3 linked regions of the Arabidopsis thaliana genome follow. The protein of the gene in region 1 interacts with the protein of each later gene in a pairwise test. Each region holds a gene or a part of one and is shown in the gene's direction. Other genes may lie near its edges. The genes, in order: TES, FU and NP3.

The links.
Region 2: the proteins of TES (region 1) and FU interact in a two-hybrid assay, tested with the Arabidopsis thaliana proteins (one study listed by BioGRID).
Region 3: the proteins of TES (region 1) and NP3 interact in a two-hybrid assay, tested with the Arabidopsis thaliana proteins (one study listed by BioGRID).

What each region holds. Positions count from the first base shown.
Region 1 is NC_003074.8:15,188,895-15,196,677, forward strand, and holds TES (ATP binding microtubule motor family protein), read left to right. Parts: upstream 1-1,891; 5' UTR 1,892-1,917; intron 1,918-1,964; exon of another isoform or gene 1,965-2,009; 5' UTR 2,010-2,265; exon of another isoform or gene 2,266-2,357; 5' UTR 2,358-2,534; coding exon 2,535-2,763; intron 2,764-2,863; coding exon 2,864-2,953; intron 2,954-3,038; coding exon 3,039-3,139; intron 3,140-3,232; coding exon 3,233-3,346; intron 3,347-3,424; coding exon 3,425-3,506; intron 3,507-3,709; coding exon 3,710-3,777; intron 3,778-3,928; coding exon 3,929-3,988; intron 3,989-4,053; coding exon 4,054-4,178; intron 4,179-4,326; coding exon 4,327-4,525; intron 4,526-4,948; coding exon 4,949-5,086; intron 5,087-5,263; coding exon 5,264-5,350; intron 5,351-5,434; coding exon 5,435-6,319; intron 6,320-6,404; coding exon 6,405-6,712; intron 6,713-6,796; coding exon 6,797-7,127; 3' UTR 7,128-7,274; downstream 7,275-7,783. UniProt on the Arabidopsis thaliana protein: Probable plus end-directed motor protein that functions in the NACK-PQR (ANP3-MKK6-MPK4) MAP kinase signaling pathway, which is essential for somatic cell cytokinesis, especially for the cell-plate formation and its expansion.
Region 2 is NC_003070.9:18,604,858-18,609,541, forward strand, and holds the start of FU (kinase family with ARM repeat domain-containing protein), read left to right. Parts: upstream 1-1,653; 5' UTR 1,654-1,959; intron 1,960-2,179; 5' UTR 2,180-2,205; coding exon 2,206-2,295; intron 2,296-2,380; coding exon 2,381-2,455; intron 2,456-2,550; coding exon 2,551-2,643; intron 2,644-2,748; coding exon 2,749-2,823; intron 2,824-2,900; coding exon 2,901-2,993; intron 2,994-3,398; coding exon 3,399-3,462; intron 3,463-3,550; coding exon 3,551-3,635; intron 3,636-3,819; coding exon 3,820-3,892; intron 3,893-3,965; coding exon 3,966-4,034; intron 4,035-4,141; coding exon 4,142-4,222; intron 4,223-4,379; coding exon 4,380-4,452; intron 4,453-4,536; coding exon 4,537-4,684. UniProt on the Arabidopsis thaliana protein: Plays a role in conventional modes of cytokinesis in meristems and during male gametogenesis but also acts in nonconventional modes of cytokinesis (cellularization) during female gametogenesis.
Region 3 is NC_003074.8:1,818,163-1,824,418, reverse strand, and holds NP3 (NPK1-related protein kinase 3), read left to right. Parts: upstream 1-1,560; 5' UTR 1,561-1,713; coding exon 1,714-2,007; intron 2,008-2,099; coding exon 2,100-2,141; intron 2,142-2,242; coding exon 2,243-2,308; intron 2,309-2,393; coding exon 2,394-2,504; intron 2,505-2,592; coding exon 2,593-2,673; intron 2,674-2,750; coding exon 2,751-2,828; intron 2,829-2,920; coding exon 2,921-3,003; intron 3,004-3,165; coding exon 3,166-3,247; intron 3,248-3,350; coding exon 3,351-3,451; intron 3,452-3,586; coding exon 3,587-3,626; intron 3,627-3,744; coding exon 3,745-3,804; intron 3,805-3,872; coding exon 3,873-3,919; intron 3,920-4,011; coding exon 4,012-4,234; intron 4,235-4,323; coding exon 4,324-4,551; intron 4,552-4,928; coding exon 4,929-5,227; intron 5,228-5,312; coding exon 5,313-5,374; intron 5,375-5,465; coding exon 5,466-5,524; 3' UTR 5,525-5,687; downstream 5,688-6,256. Other genes in the region: AT3G06035 (Glycoprotein membrane precursor GPI-anchored), read left to right, coding at 309-387, 724-1,247. UniProt on the Arabidopsis thaliana protein: Involved in cortical microtubules organization and stabilization by regulating the phosphorylation state of microtubule-associated proteins such as MAP65-1.

The sequences.
Region 1 (7,783 bases):
GAATGATTAGATAAATAAAAATTATTTAAATTAAACAATACAAAAAAAACAAAAAAAACTGCGGCATAGCGCGTGTGATCATCTAGAGTGTTAGTGAGGCATTTTCGGTTAATCTAAAAACGAAATTTTGGTCTAACCAAAGTAAGCATAGGGACAGTATTTACCATTCACAACTGCTCTTGGAAACCTCCGGTAGTAGAACTAAGTCATTTTCAGACAGGACCAAAAAGAAATAGTAACTCATATGTAGAACTTACACTTCAACTTTTATTCCCATATATATGAAAGTTGGAAAACTCTCTACATATAAGTGACACATCATCACACAAGAAAATGACATGTGTCATTCTACATTAATTAAATAAAAAAATTAGTAAAACTAATTGAGGAAAAATTAAAAGTCTTTTGTTGTGTTAAATTCTCTATTAATCTCACTCTTAAAATTAATTTTCTAAAAACATTCAATAAATAAAAAAATCATAATAATGTATCAAATACTACTTTTATTCTATTTTACTTATTTTTATATTTTTTTATCAATAGTTATTAATCCATAATGGCTAAAAATTTACGTGTATTGTATTTTAGATAATTGCTATCTAACCTCATATTAATTTAATAATTTTAGTTGGATATTTTCTTATTATTACGTTATGTGAATATGATTTATCATATGACCTTCTTTCTGTTTATTTTTGTGCGGTCTGATAACTTGATAACATTGATATACAATTTTTTCACGTAATGGTCATCCGAGACATTAGACATATCCACACAAAAATACGAGACTCTATATGGCTATATGCAAGGGAAGATAATTAAAGTGTTAACTTAAATTACTAGCATATCATGATAGGTTGGTGTACTAGATGACGAAAGAATATATGAAAAAAAGAATTGTTTGTTACAATTAAGTTAAACAAATTTCAAAATACATTAGTAATATAACTACATATTAATATATCATATAATGTTGTTGTATGTGTTCATGATAGTGAAATACTTGAATAATAGGTATATAAATATTCATATTATAGTAAAATTGTTGATCTATACTATATGATTTCACAATGAAACAACGTAGATATATATATAGGAGGAGAAAACTTGGGGAGTAAGTGTCTTAAAGATAAAGTAACTTGGTGAGTAAGACTTATATATAAGGATAAGATAAGGTCATATGATCTACTTTAAAGATGGATAATCATCCATGTTTTCTAACATGTTTCACTTTATTGTGCTCAGGACCAGTTATGTACGTGTATGTGGATGAGTTTTTGTGGCTAAATCGAAGAAAGAATGTGAAAGCTAAAAGGAGGATTAAACCCTAACTAAAAGCTAGCTAACCTCATTGTTCACTAATTAATCACACTGAAAAAGGCAACGCAACAAGCTAAACAAATCCCAACTTAGAAAGAAAAAATACGCTAAAAATTTAACACTAATCACACTTACAATATAACGAGCAGAATTAGTAACAACAAAGCAAAGGAAGGAAGCTAAAGGAAACAGAACATTTAGTATTTATACACGAGACGTGAGAGAGAATGGGGTAACTCGAAAAACCCTAGAGATAGGACAGATATCATCATCCTGTGTCGGGCTGCAAAAAATCGCTAACTTTCTCTCCGTACAAGCTTTTTCATCACCTCTCGTGCTTCCTGTGTTTGTTGTTTCTAGTCGTTTGCATATGACCGTTGTGCCTCAGACGACGTCGCTTTAGTATTGGGCTTAATCTTTAGCTGGCCCATGTTTCTCTTTTCTTCATTTGACCCAATTTATCAACACAGTCGTTTTTTGCTCTCTCGGATTGAGAAATTCTGCTTGTAAACCATAACGTACCAATAAACCCGTTTTGGTTGGCATTAACGTACACATTGATGCACTTTTCTTAGAACGTTAAGATACGTCGTATAGGTTAGTGCTGTGTTCGATGTAGAATCCCAATCTTACACGTGGCTCGTTAAGAACCCTTGATCTTTGACCGTTCAAAGTTCAAAAAATTTCAGGTCTGCGCAGAGAACGGGAATTGAAAAAAACAAAGTAAAAAGAAGAAGAAGACGAAGAAGAAGAAAGTAGCAAGAAAATAGTTTCCGTTACACATTCTCTGCTTTCGATTTTGCCTCTGCGAAAACAAATCCCTAATCATCTCCACCATCTTCTCATCGATTTGATTTTCTCCGGCGAATCATCCGTCCGTCGTCGACCACCACCGCCGCGTTTTCTTTCTCCGACGTGTTCCCTCTGTTAAGTCCCTTCTTCTCTGTAAGCGATCTTTTAATTTCTCTCTTGTTTCCTATTCTGGATTTGATTTCAGGTGACTATTATGTTGGATTCTCATGTATTGGTTGTTCTAGTTTCCATAGATGGATTTCTGAACAATCTAACAGTTACGATTACTGATTCTCAAAGAAAATCTTCGATTAGGTGATTAGATTTAGAAGAAATTGTGTTTGATCTACAGATGTAGAGTAGATTTGTAGCGTTTAGGTCTTATAAGTTTCTAAAATTGGTTTCGATTTTGTGTGTAGAAGATGATGGGACCTCCGAGAACTCCGTTAAGTAAGATAGATAAGTCCAATCCTTATACTCCATGTGGTTCCAAAGTTACAGAGGAGAAGATTCTTGTCACTGTTCGGATGAGACCATTAAATTGGAGGGAACATGCCAAATATGATCTCATTGCTTGGGAATGTCCCGATGATGAGACTATCGTCTTTAAGAATCCGAATCCTGACAAGGCTCCAACAAAATATTCATTTGGTATTTTTTATTAGAATCTAGTCGATTGCTTATTTTGTCTTCTCTTCTTTCCATTTTTGTTATATAGCTCATTTAAGTTTTTTCTTCTTTGTACTTATAGATAAAGTTTTTGAGCCAACTTGTGCAACTCAAGAGGTGTATGAAGGTGGTTCTAGGGACGTTGCACTATCTGCATTAGCAGGAACAAATGGTAACTACACAGAAATCTAAAAAATCCCATTATCTAAGGATATGTTATTTGTGGATATGTGATTTCTTGTCTCTATCTATTGCAGCAACTATTTTTGCTTATGGTCAGACTAGTAGTGGCAAGACGTTTACAATGAGGGGGGTTACTGAAAGTGTTGTTAAAGATATATACGAACATATAAGAAAAGTGAGTGATCAAATGGATGTGTTTTGGTTTTGGTTTTGTTACGAAGTGATATGTTCTTTTTCTATTCTCATGGATCTGTTGAAATCTATGTAGACTCAAGAAAGGAGCTTTGTCTTGAAAGTATCTGCTTTGGAGATTTATAACGAGACCGTGGTTGACCTTTTAAATCGTGATACTGGGCCCCTTAGACTGTTAGATGATCCAGAGGTAAGTAAAGGGTCGGAAACACTAAGTCAAGGCTCATGAACTATCTCGGCCAGTATAAGAATGCTGTGTATATTGCAGAAAGGAACCATTGTGGAAAATCTGGTGGAGGAAGTGGTAGAAAGCAGGCAACATTTACAGCATTTAATTAGCATTTGTGAAGGTAATTCTTCTATCACCTGTTAAGATGCTCTATATCTTTTTATGCATTTGATGGTGATAGTATTCTAAGTAATGTTTAGCAAAGCCTTAGAACCATGTAGATGACATATATAAAATATGACTAATTATTTCACTAATCACTAATGAGACATATGATATCATCATTTTATTTCCTGTTATGTGATTTTCCATTTATTGTTACAGATCAAAGGCAAGTAGGTGAAACTGCTTTAAACGACAAAAGTTCAAGATCGCATCAGATTATTCGGCTGGTATGATCTATACTTATCTGATATGCTGCATGATTGAATTAATATTCTATTAAACATGGAGAAGATAGTTTTGCCTAGTTATTTGCTACCATTAGACAGTAAAAGTAACCACTTCCCATAATTTCTCATGTTCTCTGCTTTTAATATTCAGACCATCCATAGCAGTCTCAGGGAAATAGCAGGCTGTGTGCAGTCTTTCATGGCAACTCTGGTACGTCATTTATTATCATTGGGTTGAAGCTTCACTTGGTATTGACGACATTTTAATTGGTGCAGAATCTTGTTGATCTTGCTGGAAGCGAACGTGCTTTTCAAACAAACGCAGATGGTCTAAGATTGAAGGAAGGAAGCCACATTAACCGTAGTTTATTGACACTTACTACAGTGATCAGAAAACTGAGGTCAGAAAGCACACTAGTTTGAACACCATGATTGTCTTTGGCATGTCTAAATTACCTTTTAGATTGATGAACATTTTCACCTGTAGGGCATCTTAAGAAATTAGCAAAACATTAAAGTTTTTAATTATTTCTGTTATTTTGGTTGAAGTTCTGGAAGAAAAAGGGATCACGTGCCGTATAGAGACTCAAAGCTGACAAGAATTTTGCAAAATTCACTTGGCGGGAATGCTAGAACAGCAATTATATGTACGATTAGTCCGGCACTGAGTCATGTTGAACAGACAAAAAAGACACTTTCTTTTGCCATGAGTGCGAAGGAAGTCACCAATTGCGCTAAAGTAAACATGGTATGTCACTTAGTTAAATATTTGTAGAGGTCTTTCGTTTTGCAGAACCAGGATGATTGTATAGAGCTTTGTCTTTGGCTTACTAAAGCTTTTCTTTGGCCTTTCATTGCAAATGTGGTTTTGTTTCTGAGTAGCAATCATCATCCTATAGTGAGCATATCATATGCAATTATCTGCCTGCATGTCTATTCTGCTCTTGCCATGAATTAAGAATACAAAATGCATCGCGTTACCTGTAATGATGTAGTGAGATATATTTTCAAAGCCTTCTTTTGTCGCTCTCCCACTAACATTACTCCTTTTGCTTCAATCTTCTTTGTGTTTGATGAATCACAAAACGGTTTTGCTTGTTCTTGATAGAAAGTTTACCCCTCTGCTGGTATTCAATTTAGGGATGTGAATTTAGTTGATTTTCTGTCGTAGGTTGTCTCAGAAAAAAAGCTGCTGAAACATCTGCAGCAAAAAGTAGCTAAACTCGAGTCAGAGTTAAGAAGCCCGGAGCCCAGTTCATCCACCTGCTTAAAGTCTCTGTTAATTGAGAAAGAGATGAAAATCCAACAGGTATGACTTAGACTTTAAGAACTAGAATTCACATCTTGAATTATCTCTTCTGAATATTTTAAATGTGGAGTCCACAGACTAGGTAAACCATATGGGACGTGAACTTAAGTTTATTAACAAAAACAACTTGAATTTTTTATCACTTGCAATTATTCATTCATGTTTAACTAATGGCAGATGGAATCCGAAATGAAAGAGCTAAAGCGTCAGAGAGACATTGCACAGTCTGAACTTGATCTAGAAAGAAAAGCAAAGGAGCGGAAGGTATGTGCGCTGCTAATATGATATACCAAAATTTTCTGGGATAACTTCAACCTTATGCAGACATGCCTATATAATTGGTTGCAGGGATCAAGTGAGTGTGAACCTTTTTCTCAAGTGGCAAGGTGTCTCTCATACCATACAAAGGAGGAATCCATTCCAAGCAAATCTGTTCCGTCAAGCCGCAGAACAGCTCGTGATAGGAGAAAGGATAATGTGAGGCAGTCTTTAACTTCGGCGGATCCAACAGCGCTAGTCCAAGAAATTCGTTTGCTTGAAAAACATCAAAAGAAGTTGGGTGAAGAAGCAAACCAAGCACTGGATCTAATTCACAAAGAAGTGACATCCCATAAACTGGGTGATCAACAAGCTGCAGAAAAAGTTGCGAAAATGCTGTCAGAAATCAGGGACATGCAGAAGAGCAACCTTTTAACTGAGGAAATTGTAGTTGGTGATAAAGCCAACCTGAAGGAAGAAATAAATCGGTTGAATTCTCAAGAAATTGCAGCTTTGGAGAAGAAGCTAGAGTGTGTTCAGAACACTATTGACATGCTTGTCTCGTCTTTTCAGACAGATGAACAGACTCCAGATTTCAGGACCCAGGTGAAAAAGAAGAGACTTCTTCCCTTCGGCTTAAGTAATAGTCCTAACCTACAGCATATGATCCGGGGACCATGTTCACCTCTTTCTGGGACTGAAAATAAGGATCCTGAGAGCAATGTTGTGTCTGCTAATTCAGCCCCAGTGTCTTTTGGAGCTACTCCACCAAAGAGGGATGATAACCGATGTCGTACACAGTCAAGGGAAGGAACGCCTGTATCACGACAAGCAAATTCAGTCGATATTAAGAGAATGAATCGAATGTATAAGAATGCTGCCGAAGAGAATATACGTAATATCAAATCTTATGTTACTGGATTGAAAGAACGTGTGGCGAAGCTTCAATACCAGAAGCAGCTGCTTGTTTGCCAGGTCAGTTTACACTTGTGACTTATGCTCATTCATTTACAAATTTGTTCATCAGTAATCAGTAACTTAAAAAGCTTGTACATGTTAGGTGTTAGAACTGGAGGCAAACGAGACAGGCGCTGCTTCGGAGTACGATGCAACCGATGAATCTCAGATGGATTGGCCATTGTGTTTTGAAGAGCAGAGAAAGCAAATCATAATGTTATGGCATCTGTGCCACATTTCAATCATTCACAGAACACAATTCTACATGTTATTCAAAGGAGACCCAGCTGATCAAATCTACATGGAGGTTGAGCTCCGCAGGCTGACATGGCTCGAACAGCACTTGGCTGAGCTTGGGAATGCGAGTCCTGCATTGCTTGGTGATGAACCAGCAAGCTACGTAGCATCGAGGTAGTACAAGAGCTTTCCTTTTCTTCAATTCTATGAGTTAAAACCATTTTTCACTAGCATATATATGTCTTTGGTGTGCTGCAGTATAAGAGCTTTGAAGCAGGAGAGAGAGTATTTGGCGAAACGGGTAAACACAAAGCTAGGAGCAGAGGAAAGAGAGATGCTATACCTGAAATGGGATGTCCCGCCGGTGGGAAAACAGAGGAGACAACAGTTCATCAACAAACTCTGGACAGATCCTCACAACATGCAACACGTGAGAGAGAGTGCGGAGATCGTGGCTAAGCTTGTCGGATTCTGTGACTCGGGAGAGACCATAAGGAAAGAAATGTTTGAGCTCAACTTTGCATCTCCTTCAGATAAGAAGACTTGGATGATGGGTTGGAACTTCATATCCAACTTGTTGCATCTCTAGCTGTTGTACCCTCCTATAAATCCTACACGTCTACTTTTCTCTGTTTGTAAATCGTTAACTTCAAAACTCTTTTGATGCTGAATAGAGAGTGTGATTCACACGACCTGTGAAAACCCTCTTTTTAAAATCCTAACCATATGATCATCTAATCTCTGTTGATTCTTTAAATTGGTAAATGTTTCTATATTACTCGATATAACGGGTAGGTCTGGGCGAATAAACTGAACCGACTGTACAGAATCGAAACCAAAACAAAAATAACTAAACCGAATCGTACCGAAAGTTGGAAATAACCGAATGGATACTGAATTTTATAATCGAAAGAACTGAAACCAAATAGATACGTAGCGAAATATTTCGGGTAAACGAAACTTTCCGAAATATAAATATATTTTTAAAATATTAGTTATTTCTAGACTAAATAATTAAAAATATATATATAATAGTAAAAATACTCGAAAATAACCGAAATATCCAAAAATATCCAAAAATGACCGAAAAATATCCAAAATGACCGAAAATATTCAAAAATAACCAAAATATCCAAAAATATTCAATCTAAACAACCGAATGGATACAAAATTTTAAAACCAAAAAAACTAGAACCGAACTAAACTTTCAAAATAACCGAATGGATACTAAGCTTTAGAACCAGA
Region 2 (4,684 bases), on another chromosome or scaffold:
TATCAATCCAAAGTGTAGCCACTTTCTCACCAAAAGAAGAATCTCGAACAGAGACTTTAAAAACATTAAACATCGGATCAAACCTATTAAAACCCTTGTTGAATCAATTTAGGTGTTACATCTTTGAGAGAAACAGTAACCGAAACAAATTAAAAATTTTACTTGGAGGTGGGGGTTTACATGCACGTGCTTTGCATTTCTTCTTCAAGCCTAAAGCAAACGCGGACGCATATAGCAGAGAAGACGTCTGCAATATGCTTTCGTGTGCAAGCAAGTATGATTTTGGCGGTTGGGAAGTTTTACAATCGTTTGATATATATCATGCACGGGTAAATGTATAAACTACCGTATCCATAAATTATTATCATATTAGTCATTTTTAATTAATCGTAAATAAGAAATAAATAATAAATTTAATTAAAATTTAAATTAAATTAAATAAACGAATAGTAGCAAACATAAATTAACTGTTCGGTTGATGGACGTTAACGTTTCGTCATCTTTTAAAGATATATAAATTTGCTTATTTTATTGTGAATTTGAAACCATTTCCTTTTGCTTAAGATTTCTTAATGATATCACTACAAAATTGATGAGTTTAACATCAGTTTAAAAAAAAATCTTAATATCATTTTTAAAATGATGCTCGAATTATAGAGTCATTTTAAAAAGAGATACTAAAACTAGTGAAGGTAAAAAATATTTAGTATCATTTTTTCAAATGACACTATAATTCAATCTTAGAACATGATTGGTTGGGATGTAAAAGATTTATAAAGCCACTAAAAAACCTACAATCAATATTGAAACAATCATGTTTTAACTTTCCTATTTTTTTCTCACACCCCAAATACTATATATTTATATATATATTTTAATTATTTTGGCTGTAAGTGCAAGTTTTTCTACAGCATAACTTTAAGATTTTTAGAAGGTCTATATTTTTTTTATTTTTTTTTTCACTTTATTTTTTTATTTTCTTTAAAAATATTACTATATTTTATATATATATATATATTAAATTTAGTTATATGGATATAAATAGTAGGTAAATACCTACTTTATGACATATATAACTCACATTGATAATTGGGAATAATATTATATAAAGTATAATTTACCAATAATATTTTTTTATTTAAAATACATACTATCAAAATCTTATTTCTACAACTAATTTATTTAAATAATTATATTATATCAATAAAATATACATCCTAATTTTTACAACAATAAACCCTACGACTACAGTCATCACACCTACATCAAAAATTTTATAGTAATAAATCTATAACTACATACCGACGAACCAATCACCCACTTAACATCATTTCTTTTTGTTAGTATCATTTCTTAAAACGTTTGTATAGATATTGCTAGGTGTCACTTTGAAACGATTAGAAAATATATAGTTTGTTTCATAATTTGAAATTGACGTTAATTATTATAATATTAGTTATAAGTTTTTTTTTAATGTTATGAATAATAATCGGTGATTTATGTGGAACAGTGGAAACAATATTTTATTTATAATCAAAATAATATTTTAGGAACCAATTTGGAAAATGATAAATAATTTATATTTTTGAGTTCTTTTGTTTTTAAAATAAACCGGAAATTACGACTTGTGGTTTGTTTTTACTTTTTTATAAGGTTTGAGAGAGAGAGAGAGAGAGTACACACTACTCTGACTCAAAGATTTTTCCCTCTTTTTGAATTTCAAAAGTTTCCGAGAATATCCAAACGCAGAGTTTATCTCTCTCTTCAACCATCGATCCAACGGATCTCTCCTAGTTTCACCGCCGAAGACCTCCTCCGCTGTTTCTCGTCGCCGACTTCCCAGTTCTACCATCTCCGGCAGCCACCACTTCGCCTATTTTACGCATTTTCGTGAGCCACGGTTCAATATTCTTCTTTACTATCTCAAATCTTCGATTTCCCCGTTTACTCGCCAATCAGGTTTAGGATCTGCATTTCAAGCTTAATTTGGATGTTTCCAGTTTTTCGATTCGCTACTTTTTGCTTATGCTAAACAAGAAATCGGAACGGAACCCTAGTTTAGAAACTAGCTTTTAATCGAATTAGACTGAATATAGTAGACTCTCCCTCAATTCTGCTTATTTGGGTCTGGGTACCGTCATTTTACCGTTTGAAGCTAAAACGGTGCTTTATTTGACAGATAAAAAAAGCCAATCGTGTTCAGATATGGGTGTCGAGGATTATCATGTGATAGAGCTTGTCGGTGAAGGATCTTTTGGGAGGGTTTACAAAGGAAGACGCAAGTATACCGGCCAGGTAAATTGTTGCTGGGTTGTTCTCTTTGTTATCATCGGCTACTTAAAATCAGCTAATCAATTCTTAATTTGGTAATTTTTATCAGACGGTGGCGATGAAGTTCATCATGAAACAAGGAAAGACTGACAAGGATATACATAGTCTAAGGCAAGAAATCGAGGTTAGCAAGTTTCAGTCCTTAATTGCACTTACCATCAACTTTAATCCCAATCAATTTTATGGTATTTGACCAACATTATTTCTTTTATGCCTCAGATATTGCGGAAGCTCAAGCATGAGAATATCATTGAAATGCTCGACTCCTTTGAAAACGCACGAGAGTTCTGTGTCGTCACTGAGTTTGCCCAAGTACTTTTCTCACTGTAGATTGTAGAATCTAAAGTACTGATTTATGAAGCATATAGCTAGACTTATATGAAATAAAGAATCACCATGGAACACCCAATTTTACAGGGTGAATTGTTTGAGATTCTTGAAGATGACAAGTGCCTTCCCGAAGAGCAAGTTCAAGCAATCGCAAAGCAATTGGTAACACGTTTTGCCAACATGGCTCTTATTTCTATATCTGATTATTAAGACAATTTTGAAACTTCTTTAAAATCCAGGTAAAAGCATTAGATTACTTGCATTCCAACCGTATAATTCACCGTGACATGAAGCCACAAAACATTCTTATTGGTGCTGGCTCTGTCGTTAAGGTAATATAACATTCCTTTTGCTGCTTCCAGTAATTAAGTTTGAAATGCTGTTTCTATGCTTCCCACACACATGAGTTGTTCATATTCTTGTTTCTTAAAGATAAAATTTAGGAGAGAATTATCGTTACAATACGATTCTTCTACTTTTTTCCTCTTCTTATGAGTACCAGATTACGTGCTAACTTCTTGAAAATTGATTTATGAACCATGGATCTTTCCGTCTATGATTATTTCAGAAAACTAAGTTAATCATGTGAGTACTAGAAGAGGATACGGCTAGCCAGGAATCTCATACACTTAGCTAAATATAAGTAGAAACATAAGTATTTTCAATGCGGCTTGATTATATGATTTCTTTAACTTCTCTTTGCCATCAACTAACTTGTCTCCCCTTTGATTTTTCAGCTATGTGATTTTGGTTTTGCTCGAGCTATGTCCACCAACACTGTGGTTTTGCGATCCATTAAAGGTTAAAGATCTTTAATTTCCTTAGACGTATTAATGAGTGAATAAATCAATAAGTCTCTCCTTGTTATTAATCCAAAATATCACATCAGGCACTCCGCTGTACATGGCACCAGAGCTTGTGAAAGAACAGCCATACGATCGCACTGTCGACCTGTGGTCTCTTGGTGTTATATTGTAGGTGGAGAAACTCATCTGAGTTGTCGTACTTCAATTGTTATTGTTATGAAAGCTATTACATCTATAAATGTGATGATTCTGATGGCTTTTCTTTCATAGTTTTTTGTTTTCTGTATTCTTTATGTTATCCACATTTCAATGCACTTGATATGGTTCTAATTAATCTCTTGTAATACATCAGGTACGAGTTATATGTAGGTCAGCCTCCCTTCTACACCAATTCTGTGTATGCTCTCATTCGTCACATTGTTAAGGTATATCAATATTTTTTTATTTTTCCATAGTCTATGCTTAAAGTATGAGCTAACGTTTTAGTGAATCTTCAAGGATCCTGTCAAATATCCTGATGAAATGAGTACTTATTTCGAAAGCTTTTTGAAAGGATTGCTCAACAAGGTGATATATTTATTTTTTCTTTAAGTTGTCCTTTTTACCATTTATTGATATGTTTGAGACCATTGCTGGACTGGGTTAAACTGTTTTTCTATTACTATGCGAAACAGGAACCCCACAGTCGATTAACCTGGCCTGCTCTTCGTGAGCACCCTTTCGTTAAAGAAACACAAGAAGAAGTTGAAGCCAGGGTAATGGTCTGATATTGATGACTTATACTTTGCAGCTTGAGTCCAATGTACAGAGCATTTTGTTAAAACTGTCTTTTTCATGCAATGTAACGGATCTCAAATTAAAACATGTTGTTGGAATAATAGATCACTAAGAACATTTTGAACGCCTATTCAGGAAATCCATACTGCAGTAGTTGACAATAAGGCAGCTTGGATGCTCAAAGGAAATGGAGGGCAACAGAGAAATGGTTTGAATCTCTTCAGTGTGTGGTTAGAATCTATTTCTTAATTAATTTTCTCCTTTATTAAATTTATAGTGTTAAATGTCACAGAAAAGTGCGACTCAGTGACCCTGGTTGAGGACATGTCTGCTACAAAAGGTCTAGCTGACGTTCAGTCAGATATGAAGAGTGCTGTCAAAGTAAATTCTCCACCCACTGAGGATTTTGTGGGATTCCCAACCCAAGAGGAGATAAAAAG
Region 3 (6,256 bases), about 13 Mb from region 1:
CGATTACTTGACATTGAGTTTTCAAGAACTTTGGTCAATTGTTTGCCTTCTCTTTGGAACTTGTTCTTGTCCTCTATCCTTATATTAGAAACGATGCCGTATAGGATGAGAGGGACCAAGCGAATTAGTTAAAAATGCCTTAAATTGTCGGCACAACGTCAAAATCGAGCTGACAAGAAAAGCAGAACAGAATCAAACAACTCTTTATGAGTAAAAGCGAAGTAACCATTTCTCTCACTCTCCTTTCTCAATTAATATAAGCCAATCACCATCAAAATATCATTTGAGAACTCTAGAAACCTGCTTCAATGGCGATCGACAAGCTTCCACTTCTTCTCTTTCTCTCCATACTCCTCTGCCTCAATCGCCCTGTTCTTAGCGACACCGGTAACTTCCTCTCTTTCTTCCATTGTTTTCTTGTTGAAGTAAATCTCTGTTCTTGAAACTCTTTCTGTCTCTCTTTATAGTGTTTATTCAGGATCTTTAGATCTGGTCTGAAATCTCTTAGGAGTTAGGATCTGTTCACTTCAATTAAAAGTTCTTCCATAGATCTCAATCATGAGAAAGTTGAACTTATTTGAAAAGGTTAATACTTTCTCAAGTGTATAATTTGCTTTCCTTCTCTTGATAACAAATAAAGAACAAAAATTTACTTTAACTAGAGATTGTGAATATGCTTCTGCAAATGATATAGACTTTAATCAAGCGTCTTCTGAGTTGCAGATGAAGAGGACATTCTTCTCACAGGAATCAACAGCTACAGAACAACACAGAATCTAACAATCTTAAGCAAGAACGAAAACGCAGAATGCCTAGCTGACGAAATCGCAGACCAATTCAAGAACAAACCTTGTACCAACGACACTGGCTCAGCCACAGTACCTGGAACTGAGCCACAGTTCGCAAACTACCCTCAGATTCTAGCAAAATGCCACTTGAACGTCTCAGACACGAGAGACGGCTCGATTATGCCTGCATGTGTTCCTCGTTTAGAATCAAACCTCGTCCTCACAAACTTCACCAAGTCACAATACTCAATGAGTTTGAACGATTCCAAGTTTACAGGGATTGGTATTGGTAAAGAAGATGATTGGATCGTTGTAGTCCTCACTACCAACACACCAGAAGGAAGCTATTCTACAGCTACTCCTACAAAACAAGAGTCTAATGGCTTCACCTTTGGTATTGGTCTCGTTAGTTATTTAGTCATTTTCATGTACTCTTCCTTTTGTTTCTTTCTCTTTTGAGATATCAAATGTTTTGATGAGTTATCAAACACTCTTTCCTTTAGACTATCAAGAATAAATTTTGTTAAAGATTAGTTGTTATAATTTCTGAAACTTGACGCTTATGGCATGTGATGTCATGATAGGACGTACTTAAAATACTGTATTTTGTCGGTGAGTTTGGTGGAGAAAGACAAGATTATGCAACGACCGACACAAATCTGGATATTTTACACGTGGGAAGTACTTTATGCGCTCCAATACTGAAAAAGCCCAATAAGAAGGCCCATTAAGTAACGGGTAAAATATTTAGGATTATTGAAAGGGTTTCAACGGAAAAATCACAAAAACTAAGCTTTTAATTTTGAAAAACAGATCGAGTTTCTCTTTCCCTCCTCGAAATTTCCTAAATCCACACATCACGAAGCCGAAGCAGCCATGAGTAATCTTCACTGATCTCTCTACACATTCACCGTCGGCTTCTCAAATGCAGGATATTCTCGGATCGGTTCGCCGATCCTTGGTTTTCCGGTCGTCTTTGGCCGGAGACGATGGTACTAGCGGCGGAGGTCTTAGCGGATTCGTCGGGAAGATTAACTCTAGTATCCGTAGCTCTCGAATTGGGCTCTTTTCTAAGCCGCCTCCAGGCCTTCCTGCTCCTAGAAAAGAAGAAGCGCCGTCGATTCGGTGGAGGAAAGGGGAATTAATCGGTTGCGGTGCTTTTGGAAGAGTTTACATGGGAATGAACCTCGATTCCGGCGAGCTTCTTGCAATTAAACAGGTTAATTTTGAATTTCTTAGTTCTGGTTACTTTCAGTTGCCTTTAATTTATGATTTCTTCTGCTGATTTGTGATTTTTTTTTTGGATAATAGGTTTTAATCGCTCCAAGCAGTGCTTCAAAGGAGAAGACTCAGGTGAGTTATTGCTCTATCTTTTAAATTTTGCAATTTTCGATAAATCTGTTACCAATTTGGTAACAACTTTGGTTTCCTTTGGTCTTGAATCCTTGTTTTAGGGTCACATCCGAGAGCTTGAGGAAGAAGTACAACTTCTTAAGAATCTTTCACATCCGAACATCGTTGTGAGTTGGCGAATCCATTCAGCTATTTCTCATATGTTTAATGTCTGTTCCACATGCATTCTTCTTATTATCTTTGTTTTTGCAGAGATACTTGGGTACTGTAAGAGAGAGTGATTCGTTGAATATTTTGATGGAGTTTGTTCCTGGTGGATCAATATCATCTTTGTTGGAGAAGTTTGGATCTTTTCCTGAGCCTGTAAGTCCTGACTACACCTGAACTTTGCTAAATCTTGTATTTGAGCTTCGCTGGCGATGAATGTTGTGTCTTTAACTTTTTTAAATAGGTGATTATTATGTACACAAAGCAACTTCTGCTTGGTCTGGAATATCTTCACAACAATGGGATCATGCATCGAGATATTAAGGTACTTTCCTCTTTCCAACATGTGATATGCTTGTGGTTTCTCAAAATTCCGCTATAACTCTTGTCATATTCTCCTAGGGGGCAAATATTTTGGTCGATAACAAAGGTTGCATCAGACTCGCAGATTTTGGTGCTTCCAAGAAAGTTGTAGAGCTAGTATGATTGCGCTTCTCTTTCTCTTTAATCATATTTCAATATGTTGCCTCTCTCTTCAGTACTCTAAAACTTTGTGAACTTTATGCTTCTAGGCTACTGTAAATGGTGCCAAATCTATGAAGGGGACGCCTTATTGGATGGCTCCTGAAGTCATTCTCCAGACTGGTCATAGCTTGTAAGTATTTCAAGAATACCCTACCAGTTATCTTCTTCTCCCCATCTCCTTAGTTTTTGTAAGATAATAGATTATACATGCTCTGAGTAGTGGGAATGGGTTCTCATCTATTTTTCCATGTGTATTGCAACTTTCATTCTGACCTTCTTCTTTAATCTGAAGCTCTGCTGATATATGGAGTGTTGGGTGCACTGTGATTGAGATGGCTACGGGGAAGCCTCCCTGGAGCGAGCAGTATCAGCAGGTAAAGAGTCACTGGGTGAAGGACACTTTCCAGTATTGTTGATGCATATGACGCTGTCTTTTATTTTAGAAACCTAAGAAGACCTAAAAAGTTTTTCTTTCAGTTTGCTGCTGTCCTTCATATTGGTAGAACAAAAGCTCATCCTCCAATTCCAGAAGACCTCTCACCAGAGGCTAAAGACTTTCTAATGAAATGCTTACACAAGTAAGTCATAAGTTTTTTCCCCAGTTCGTTTTTGTCTTTATCTAGATAGCTCCTGTAAAGATCAATGTCCACCATTCTATTTCAAGAGAGCATCTATATCTGTTGTTCTATTAATAAGAGAAATTATCTTTTCAGAGAACCAAGCTTGAGACTCTCTGCAACCGAATTGCTTCAGGTGTTGTGAATAACATATCTTCTCCATTTCACAATTGTGAAAATGTTCTTTACTCTCAATGCACAATACTAAGTTATTATTGTTGCTCATAGTGCTGACAGCTTCTTAACATTTGCAGCACCCGTTTGTCACTGGAAAGCGCCAGGAACCTTATCCAGCTTACCGTAATTCTCTTACGGTTAGTACATTATGCAGTAAACTTTTTTCTGGTTCTTCAACCTTCTGACCTCCTTTCTAATATATCAGGAATGTGGAAACCCAATAACTACTCAAGGAATGAATGTTCGGAGTTCGTAAGTTTTTTTCTTGCAGCTCTAGTTTCAATCTTCTCACTATCCATGATTTTGATCCCTTGATTCTTATTTTACTTCCTCTGTTGTTCCAGAATAAATTCGTTGATCAGGAGGTCGACATGTTCAGGCTTGAAGGATGTCTGTGAACTGGGAAGCTTGAGGAGTTCCATTATATACCCACAGAAGTCAAATAACTCAGGATTTGGTTGGCGAGATGGAGACTCTGATGACCTTTGTCAGACCGATATGGATGATCTCTGCAACATTGAATCAGTCAGAAACAATGTTTTGTCACAGTCCACCGATTTAAACAAGGTGATAAGTCTATCCTCCAGATTTTAAAACATGTCCGTTGATTACAGTACTTATACTGACAGTGGAAAGGAACTTTTTGACTTTAACAGAGTTTTAATCCCATGTGTGATTCCACGGATAACTGGTCTTGCAAGTTTGATGAAAGCCCAAAAGTGATGAAAAGCAAATCTAACCTGCTTTCTTACCAAGCTTCTCAACTCCAAACTGGAGTTCCATGTGATGAGGAAACCAGCTTAACATTTGCTGGTGGCTCTTCCGTTGCAGAGGATGATTATAAAGGCACAGAGTTGAAAATAAAATCATTTTTGGATGAGAAGGTAAGGCCTTTTTGTAGTATATGGGTGAGAATTCAGTTACTATTATGCATGATTCCTGTTTTCTCAGATTCATTTACTAACTTAAAAGACCTGCTAAATATGAAATTTCGAAACTTTAAAGCTACTAAACAGTATTAAACTTGGTTAATGTTGAACACATGCACATTGCGACGTTGGACTCTTGTTTACATGTTTTGTGTGGTATAGTGTTTCAATTTTCAATACTCCAATAGTCATAATCATCTCTCCTGCAACTGTGGCTCTTTTTTGCTTGGTCTGCCTGGAATTTTTAAATGCATCTCGGCTACCAACATGAGGTTTTGTGATGATACTGAGTCTTAGTCACTTACTCGTTTGTCGTTTTATGTGTTGTCAAGGCTCAGGATTTGAAAAGGTTGCAGACCCCTCTGCTTGAAGAATTCCACAATGCTATGAATCCAGGAATACCCCAAGGTGCACTTGGAGACACCAATATCTACAATTTACCAAACTTACCAAGTATAAGCAAGACACCTAAACGACTTCCGAGTAGACGACTCTCAGCAATCAGTGATGCTATGCCCAGCCCACTCAAAAGCTCCAAACGTACACTGAACACAAGCAGAGTGATGCAGTCAGGAACTGAACCAACTCAAGTCAACGAGTCGACCAAGAAGGGAGTAAATAATAGCCGTTGGTGAGTTAGCTCGTGCTTAAGTTACTGGTGTTAGGCCTGAAACTGGTTTTATTCTCTTTGGTGTTAATGTTTCCTTCTTCCTCAGTTTCTCAGAGATACGTCGGAAGTGGGAAGAAGAACTCTATGAAGAGCTTGAGAGGCATCGAGGTAAGTGTTATTTCTTCAAGACTAAAGATTTGAAGAAAATGACTTAAAATTTGTACAAGCATTTGTTTACTAATAGTAAAACTCTTTGCAGAGAATCTGCGACACGCTGGTGCAGGAGGGAAGACTCCATTATCAGGCCACAAAGGATAGTGAACGGCTAAAGAGAAACTGTATGTTTCTTTCTTATGTTTCAAAATTACTTCTTCGTATTTTTTTTTGTTGGTGGGGTAATTTCATGACTAGTATGATATATGTAGATAGTTCTTCAACGGTTCATAGTATTATTATTTATTATTATTATTATTATTATTATTATTATTATTATTATTATTATTATTATTATTATTATTATTATTATGTATACATATCTTAAATCTGACTTATAAGGTCGTATCAACCATCTAAAAACTTGTTTGTGAATTGTGGTGTTGTTCGAGTATGGTTATTTTGTTTTAAGTATAAAAAAAACTAGTCTTATAAAAAAAAGTTTACCCTATTTCCTTTTACATGAGCAGTCAGTTAATCACTCATGCACCAAAAAGATAAAAATAAGAAATTAGACCAAAGTTTTTAATTCAAAATTTTGGTTGGAGGATGGGCTGTCAAGAAAAAAAAGCTGAGCAAATTTTTTTTTTAAAAAAGAGAGAAGAGAAACATGAAGATCTTCATGCTTAAAGATTTCTTGATTTTCTCTTCCAAATCTATTAATAATCAACATTTAGATTTTGTGCTTTCCTCTTTTATCAGTGTTTGGACCGTTTTTGATTGAAGTATTGACCATATGTAGATACACTTATAAATCCCGAAATAAAAAGAAAAGAGAAGGACATGTGAATTTTTCGATTTGTGTACGTTGTCGACAAGTCCATATCTAAATGATAT